2 linked regions of the Oryctolagus cuniculus genome follow. The protein of the gene in region 1 interacts with the protein of each later gene in a biochemical or structural test. Links are inferred from orthologs where the notes say so. Each region holds a gene or a part of one and is shown on either strand. Other genes may lie near its edges.

Region 1 (4,323 bases):
CGAGCGGGAGGCTGCGACCGTGCCAGAGCTGCCCGCGGCCCGCCCCGCTCACGGGACCGGCCGAGGAAGGCCCCTTGGCCCCAGAGAGCGCCGCAACAGGGATTCCCCGCCGCGCCGGGGCCGCTAGAATCTCCCCGCCTCGGCACGGGCCCGCGGCCCCCAACAGTGAACTTTGCGCCATTGTGACCGCCGTGGCGAGGACTTCCTACCCCGTGTTTTCACCGGGCAGCAAGCTCACCGAGACCCCCTTGGGGAGGGGGAGGGGGAGGGAAAGTAAACCAGCACCCCCTACCCCCCCCAGATCTTAGCCGAGAGTTCTCACTGCGGGCCGCGCTTTGATTATGAAAGACTCGCCAACATGGCGAAGCAGCCCGGGCAACCGAGGCTTCTCCCCGGGCACCCCTGGCGGTCGCAGCCCGGCCGGCCCGCACCTGGGGACAACCCACTTCTTGCGTTTCAAAACAGCGCTCGGGCGAGGCGGTCTTCCCCAGGAGCGAGGGCCCGCCCACCTGTCCCATCTTGGGCGCCGTCCGGCAGAGGCCCCGCGGCCGGGCGGCTGCTGCTCCCGGGCTGGGGGCCTGCGAGGGTGACCTGACGTGGGTGTCCGGCAGTGTGAGCGCGTGGAAAGCGGAGACAGCCCTGAGTGCCCCCGCGGGTGTCTGCGACCCCACCCCCTCTCGATGACGGCGGCTCCCAGGCCTGGGTCTCCGGTTTGGGAGCGAGGCGGAGCTGCCCCAGCAGGTGTCAGAGAAGGGAATGCCCTATCAGGCAGAATGGTTTCCCTCCCTGCACTTGGCCAGAGTGGACTTTGGGCCTGGGGGGGGGGGTGTTGTTTCTTTGTTAATTCTTCCTCTTGGGGGTTCTTTGCGACCCCCCCCCTCGCTCGCACCGCTCCCGCCTCAGAACTTCTCTGGGGGGGTCGTCTCCTCCCTCGGTGTAGAATCTCTGCCTGTGTCTCTCCACCTCTGGTGTCTCTCCCTGCGCCTCCCTCCATCTCACCCTCTCTCAGCACGGCTCTGCGTGTCTCTCCCTTTCTCTCAGCGTTATGCCTTCCTGTCTCTGTGTCCCTGCGACTCCCTGTGTACGTCTGTTTCCCATGTTCCCCCCCCCACCCCCACACACACCCCGGGTCTCTTCCTCCCTGTCTCTCCCTTTCCAGCTACCTGCCGGCCTCTGGCTCGCTGTGTGAGCCCGTCCCTCCCTCTGCTTCTCGTCGGTTTTTTCTCTCCTCTGCCCACCCCCCGCGCCGTCAGCCGCGCAGGCCCTCTCGGCCTCTGCCCTTGTCAGTTGCTCCGGCAGCCCTGCCCCCACCCGTGTCCCAGTTCCATTCTCCGGCCTCCGTCTCTAGCCTTGAAACCTGGGCAGGCAGACGCCCTTCCCGCCCCGCGCCCCACCCCACGCACTCCCCTCCGGGCCGCCCCGCCGCGCGCAGGCCCCGTCCTGGCCGGCAGCCGGGCGGAAGGGGACTAGCCCAGGGCCCGTCGGGCTGCGCCGGGGGCGCGCGTCCGGGAAGCGCCCCTCCTGGCCCCGCCCCGCCCTGGGCCCGCCCCTCTCGACCACGCCCCCACTGCCCTATAAGAAGGTGTCTGTCGCGGGTAGCCGCAGCCTGGTTTCAGCGCTCCGACTTTGGGCCGATCCCTCAGGGCCAAACGCGCCGCCATGGATCTCACAGCCATCTACGAGGTGAGTCCCCTCCGGACTCCCCAGCGCCGGGACGCTAGCCTCCCTGCCAAGCTGGGGGGGGGGGCTCTTCTGCGCTACACCCTCCGACCCCGGCCCCCGGCTGCCTTTTCCGGACCGACCTGATTATCGGGGGGCGGGGGTGGGGGGTGGGAAGTAAAAATGGAGCCCCCGCCTGCCGGCTCTCGGCCCGGCCGGCACTTGGGTGGGGGCCCCGTGGAGTGGCCGCTGGGAAACTTTGCTCAGACCAGGGCTGGTCGGAGGCGGAAACGGCGCCGCACCTGGCTCACCCCTCGTAGTCGCCGAGGGCGCGGTGCCGCGCGGAGGCGTTTTTGGGGCTGAGTCTCGGGGCGGGGAAGCCGACTTCTGCCTCTGACGCCTCGACCCGCCTTCTCCGGGAACTCAAACCCCAAAGACCAGACTCCCGAGTTGGCTCTGCCAGGCTCCTCCCGTTGTGAAACTGGAGAACTAACCCGCTGCGCTCCTCATATCCGGGAAGGCCCAGCGGCTCCAAGTTGGGGACCTGACTTTAGGGTCCCCTGTTGATCCTCCCGGGAAGCTGGGATTCCTCCTCCAGCCGTGGCTCAACGCAGAGCCCCTGAACCGGGATCGCCGCTGGGTTCCGGAAATCCCGGTTGCCGTGGGCGGGTGGGGCTCCGGCCGGGAGCCCACAAACCGGCCTGGCAAGGTCTTGAAGTGCCCTGCAGCTGGGGCGCGCCTCGCCCTGCGTCTGCGGGTGTCCTAACCCGATCCCTGTTCCCACAGAGCCTCGTGTCGCTGCACCCTGACCCCCCATCCGACCACGGAGGGACGGATCCTTCGGGACTCTGGGGCCCGGCTGGGATCACCTCTCGCCTGCCGGGCCGCTCCACCAGCCTGGTAGAGGGCCGCAGCTGCGGCTGGGTGCCGCCACCCCCTGGCTTCGCACCCCTGGCTCCCCGCCCGGGCCCGGAGCTGGCGCCCTCGCCCACCTCGCCCACGGCGACCCCCACCACCTCCTCCCGCTACAAGACTGAGCTGTGTCGGACCTTCTCGGAGAGTGGACGCTGCCGCTACGGCGCCAAATGCCAGTTTGCCCATGGCCTGGGCGAGCTGCGCCAAGCCAATCGCCACCCCAAGTACAAGACTGAACTCTGCCACAAGTTCTACCTCCAGGGCCGCTGTCCCTACGGCTCCCGCTGCCACTTCATCCACAACCCCAGCGAGGACCTGGCCGCCCCCGGCCACCCCCACGTGCTGCGCCAGAGCGTGAGCTTCTCCGGCCTGCCCTCCGGCCGCAGGACATCGCCTCCGCCGCCGGGCCTCGCAGGCCCCTCCCTGTCCTCCTGCTCCTTCTCGCCACCCAGCTCCCCGCCCCCACCGGGGGACGCTCCGCTTTCACCCTCGGCCTTCTCTGCCGCCCCTGGGACCCCCGTGGCTCGAAGGGACCCCACGCCCGCCTGCTGCCCCTCCTGCCGCCGGGCCAACCCTGTCAGCATCTGGGGGCCCTTGGGTGGCCTGGCCCGGAGCCCCTCGGCGCACTCCCTGGGCTCAGACCCGGATGAGTACGCCAGCAGCGGCAGCAGCCTGGGGGGGTCCGACTCTCCTGTCTTCGAGACGGGAGCTTTCGGGCCACCCCAGCCGCCTGCAGCCCCCAGGCGCCTCCCCATCTTCAACCGCATCTCCGTGTCTGAGTGACGGAGATCCGTTGGATAGAGGGGCGCCGCGGTGTGCCGTGGGTTCCGCTGGGCCCAGGGCCTGTGGGGAAGGGATCCTAATTCATTCAAGTGGGTCCCTCCCTCCCCCGCATTCCAAAATGCATTAACTTCACCCCTGACCCCACGCTGGGGCAGGTCCCCGGTGTGCAAGCTCAGTGTTCACGGTGTTGGGGGACAGAGTGCTCTCTGGGGTTCTTTGAAGATGTAGCATACTGGAGGGAGACAGTGAGCCCCGTCCCCCCCGACCTGCACCCCGTCTGAATCTCCTGGAATCTCATGTGCTGTGAATAGTAGCCCCCTGCGCGCCCCCTCCCACTTCTTCCTGAGGTCCCAGCGTCTGGTGGTGAGTGGAGCCTCCCCGAGGGAGACTCCTGGTGCTCAAATTTCCCTCCACAAGCAAGCAAAGCCGTTGCCAAACCCCTCCCCCAACCGACGGGCCCTTTATTTATGACGACTTTATTTATTCTAATAAGGTTTTATAGTATTTATATATATTGAGTCGTCTGCTTCCTTTGTATTTTTTCCTCCTCTTTTTTGTAATATTGGAAACTGGTATAATTATTAAGTATGCTATAATAATATATTAAGTAATATATATTGTTACCTTAAAAGTCTATTTTTGTGTTTTAGAATTTTTAAATAAAAGGAACCGGCGTGTAAACTGGAACCCTGGCCTTTGTGCTGTCCGGGGCGGGGAGGGGGCGAGAGCCCAGCCGCCCTGCGGCGCTTACCTGGCAGGAAGTGACGTCACCAGGCCCGCCGTTCACCTGAGAGGGCGGGGCCAGGTGAGGTCACGGGGGGGAGCCGGGCGAGCCGGTTCCCGAGGCGTCTGGGGACGCTGCACTCGCGTCCTGCCGGGCTGCTAGGCCCGAGCGGGCGGGGACGGGACATTTCCGTCCCCACGGGGCCGGGGCGGCGAGAGGACGGAATGTGCCGGCGCCAGGCG
Region 2 (4,295 bases), on another chromosome or scaffold:
TGCTTCATGATGCACACCTGCGGCTTCATTCCCACAGGTCAGAATGGGCACCCCCCCCCATAAAGTACATTACGGATCTACTGTCAAAAATAGCTACAATTCAAATTCAAGGATATAGAATACATGTAAAGAGAAATTAAAGGCTAAATGGTGTTTAAATAAATGATCGGCATGTGTTGCTCTACAAGTAGACACCTACTCTTTGTTAGTGCCAGATCACCTGGCTCCAATTCCTTCCTGACTCTAGAACTTACCTTGAGCTGTACATGGAAGGGGTCTTGGGAAAATTATTCTTCTCTGTGCCTCAGTTTCCTCATCTGTAAAATGAGGCTAACAGTATTTACCTCTCACTAGTTGTTATTAAGACTAATATAAAATGCTTAGAACAAATTGTGGCACACAGCAAATACTGTAATTATTATTTATTATTATTACTGTTTGATGCTACTTCATCGGTGATAAATAAATCAAACAGGTGTAGTCTACATTCCTGTTTATGTCATACAATATACGCTACGCCTGATCTGCACATGTGCACATTCACGCATGTGGTTAATCACCTTCTGTATCCCAGATGCTCATTTTAATTACTGAGTTGTCACAATACATCAAAGGCTGCATCACCACTTGCACTGTACAGATGAGAAAATGACAGACTAGATTTTCTATGTGCAAAATAAAAATTGGTAACAACACCATTTTTTGAAAGCAGTATGTGCACAAAGCAGGGCTGGGTCTCAAATGTAACTGGAGAAAAGCAAATTGTCATAAAAAAAAAAGCAAAAGCTTTCATTTAACAATTTACAGTTTGTAAAAAAGCTTCATGACCACACTAGAGATTAACTAAAATGCTGCAAATCATACTAAAAAATATTACCGCCTACATCTGAAGTGCATTTACCTGGTTCCAATTTCAATACTCCTTTGGTTTCTGCACCTACAGCCAAATGGGCAAGATGCACATTTCGCAGTGGCTCAGATCTCCGGAGACGCTGCCTAGGAACTAGCACCATGGGAATCTGCTCAGCCTGGTTTCAGAAAGGCTGCCTCCCTGATCCAGGGAGATCCAATTCTAAAATGGCTTCACCATAACACAAGCACTGCATCATGGGAAATGTACACAAAATTACAGGGTAGGAGCCATACTCCAGGGGCTTACGGTCCATAAATATTTGCTACTGATGAATAAGGATATTCAGTGTGAAGCTAAGTGTGTGGGCTAGGCCAAATCACCTTTCTCATACAGACTTCATCTGTAAGATGGGTGACTGACTTATCTCATTGAAGGCAGATGGGAAAATAATCCAGCCATTGCTACTGGATTTGCAGCCACCCATTTTGAAGGCCAAGCTTAAAATTCCAACTTGGACCTGACAAAACTGACCAGTTTTTATACTCTCCATACTATGTGCTGTTAGAGACATGGGTCAGAAAAAATGAGGGCTCAGATATCTAAAATATCCCTGAGAAAGAAATGGCGTGCACTGGAAGCAATGAAGAAATTCACTACCGAGCAATATTTCTATACATACAAAATTCCAACAGGAAGATGCAGAAATCTCAGTGGCCACGTGTCCATTTCTACATCACTGTATATGGTGTGTGCCTCCATGTGGACCATTCAGACAAAGTAATCAGTGCAAGGAACCTTCAGCTTCCCAGCGCTCCATTTCTCCCTCGTGGCTCCTGTAGCCAGCCGATTTTCTATGTTCGCAACATCATCTTGCCAAATTCCAGCTCCCACACAGGGCAAGGAAAATCAGAGCCTGATGCCATCCAGCCTTTACCAAAGAGAACTGCAGCAAAGGCAAGGACAAGACGCCATGTATTTTTACAGAAAGGTTGGCAAACTGTCTTAGCCAATGCTGCCACCTTTGAAAACTCCATTACATGCGAGTTCTCCATTTGCAATAGGCAAAAATGGACTCAGCTTCTATAGAAAAGGAGTCGAGCGTTCTCATCCCTTCCCCCGGCTACCAGGGAAATTCGGGACTGAAAAACGTGCTCTCACACACAGTCAGGGGGAATCTGGGCCGAGGACACGAAACACTCGGGCGTTAAATGACGGCGCATGCCCTGGGAAAATATTCCCAACACCAGCTGGTGGCTTTTTTCCCCTGGAGATCCGGCCTGACTCAGACATCGGTCCCAACAAATGCATTTTCTTGCTTCAAACCTCCGACCTGATCTTCCCAGGGAATCTCGGGTCCTGCCGGGCTCCGTACCCAGCGGAGGATGATGAAATGGCTTTGCTGCAAAGTGGGTGGGGGTTTCCCCCCTGCTGTCTCCCAAGGTTAAACCCCTTACTCATCCAGGGGTAGCCAAGCAGGGGCACCGGGGCGCAAGAACTCGCCTGCGTTTGCTTAAATTTTAATTTTTGGAAGCCGGAAAGCCCCAGAGCCGCAGTGACAGGGCTGAAAAGGGTAGTTCTCGCCGACCGAGGCGCAGGGAGGGGTCGCGCCGGGGATAAAAGCCCAGCCAGGAGGGAGGGGCCGGGGCCAAGGCTCAGCCGTCCCCGACCCGCAGTACCGAGCCGCACCCTGCCCGCCTGGCAGGGCCGCCGGCGGCGCGGGAGGCCCGGGCTTCTGCAGGCGAAGGGCCCGGCCCCGGAAACAGGGAGGGGCCGCGGCGAGGTCGGGCCCGCGCCGCAGCCGGCAGCCAGGGCCGCGGCAGCCGCGCACCGCCACCCCCGGGGGCTCACCCGCAGGGCCGACATCGCAGCCGCGGGCTGAGGGGGACCTGGAGCGTGGGCCCCTGGGGGCCCCGGGCGGGCCCGCGCCGCACTCACCGTGGGAGGGCTGCAGGGGGCAAAGAGGCTTCCGAGCGAAGCTCCGAGAGCGGCGACCGCTTCCTTCCCAAGCCTGCTCCTCAGGCAGCGGCGACGGCGGCTGCAGGGGCGGCAGCGGCAGCAGCTAACCAGGCTCCGGAATCGGCGGCGGCGGTGGCTGCAGCTCCACTTCCGCTCCGGCCACCGCTTCCGCTTGGCTCAAGCCCCGCCCCTCCCTGCGCCGTCTTCTCATTGGGCAAGTGAGGCACGGGGTTGCCCTGGCCGCCCGAGAGGGGCGCTGACGGCAGGGAGGAGGAAGAAGAGCCCAGTGCAGGGCCGCAGCGGACCGGGGCGGGCGCAGGGCCGGGAGAGGTAGCAGGGAGGAGGCGGCCGAAGGGGAAGGAAGTGGGGCGGGGGGACGGGAAGAGGAGGCGGGAGGAGAGAGGGCGGAGATGGGGGTGGAGGTCCAGAGATGGGATGTGTGGGAACAGGGAGGACTCGGGTGGGGGAGCGCCCGCGCTGCTTAGGTTGGAGCCTGGGCAGGGCCAGGCACAGCGATTCCCAGGGTGCAGGTTCCCACGCCACCCCGGAAGTAGTCCTCCCGGGGGTCGGAGCCCCAGCGCACACACCCTTTGGCTGCGTGCTGTGCGAATAACTGGACCTCGGAAGACAGAAATTGCTCGTCCCCCCGTTTTCGGTTTATCCGCCTTTCTGTACTTAAGGGACTATCTCCTGCCCTCATAGCCTGAAGAGGCCACGTGAAGGTCTTCTGAAAAAAACCTGTGCACATGGTTTCTTCATTGAGGAAGCTGCAGGGAGGCGCACGGGGCCGCGTGGCCCCTCACCCTCTCTGGCCTCTCACCTGTTCATGCTGACAGATGCGGAGCGGGTTTTCCGCTTAGTGCTGGAGAGACAGCAATACACAGGAGAGAGGGGGCCCTGCTCCCCTGGGAGTCTGGCGGCAGAAGAAAAAAGTACCTGGGTCGCGTTGCTGTCATCTCTCCCTTACCCTTATTTAGTTAATGATAGAGATCTAATTCGCCACACCATGCCCAGCCCCGCCTCTATCAGCTGCCTACTGATCTAAAAATGCAGGTGTAGCAGTTACGGTGGGGGGCACCCAGATTCCAGCTTCTTGCTAAGTCCCACCCTGGGAGACGGCAGGTGATGGCTCCAGCAGTTGGATCCCTGCCATTCGCCTGGGAGACATGGTTTGAGTTCCTATTCCTGGCTTCTGCCTGGGCTGGTCTGGCCATTTGGGGAGTGAACCAGTAAATGCGAGTGCTCTTTCTCAAGTATATTTTTAAAAAATGTTTAATGCCATTCTAATCATGTTCTGTCCCTACTTAAATCCTTTGCTGATCACTCAGACCTTGAAAACTATCAATAGTAAGTTCCTTGAGTGTTACAATCAAGGTTTTCCAGAAGCTCCCCTTACCCATACATAACCCATCGTAAATACCCTAACCCCGTTGGATGACTCCTTACCCCCCAGCGGGACTATTTCTAAACAGTTTGAGTTGGCAGT

The links.
Region 2: the proteins of ZFP36 (region 1) and YWHAB form a complex in vitro, tested with the Homo sapiens proteins (2 studies listed by BioGRID). The link is inferred for Oryctolagus cuniculus from reciprocal best matches to the Homo sapiens genes ZFP36 and YWHAB.

What each region holds. Positions count from the first base shown.
Region 1 is NC_091449.1:15,543,543-15,547,865, reverse strand, and holds ZFP36 (mRNA decay activator protein ZFP36), read left to right. Parts: upstream 1-1,523; 5' UTR 1,524-1,659; coding exon 1,660-1,683; intron 1,684-2,445; coding exon 2,446-3,357; 3' UTR 3,358-4,044; downstream 4,045-4,323. UniProt on the Homo sapiens protein: Zinc-finger RNA-binding protein that destabilizes several cytoplasmic AU-rich element (ARE)-containing mRNA transcripts by promoting their poly(A) tail removal or deadenylation, and hence provide a mechanism for attenuating protein synthesis.
Region 2 is NC_091442.1:14,271,290-14,275,584, forward strand, and holds the start of YWHAB (14-3-3 protein beta/alpha), read right to left. Parts: upstream 2,925-4,295; 5' UTR 2,789-2,924; intron 1-2,788. UniProt on the Homo sapiens protein: Adapter protein implicated in the regulation of a large spectrum of both general and specialized signaling pathways. Binds to a large number of partners, usually by recognition of a phosphoserine or phosphothreonine motif.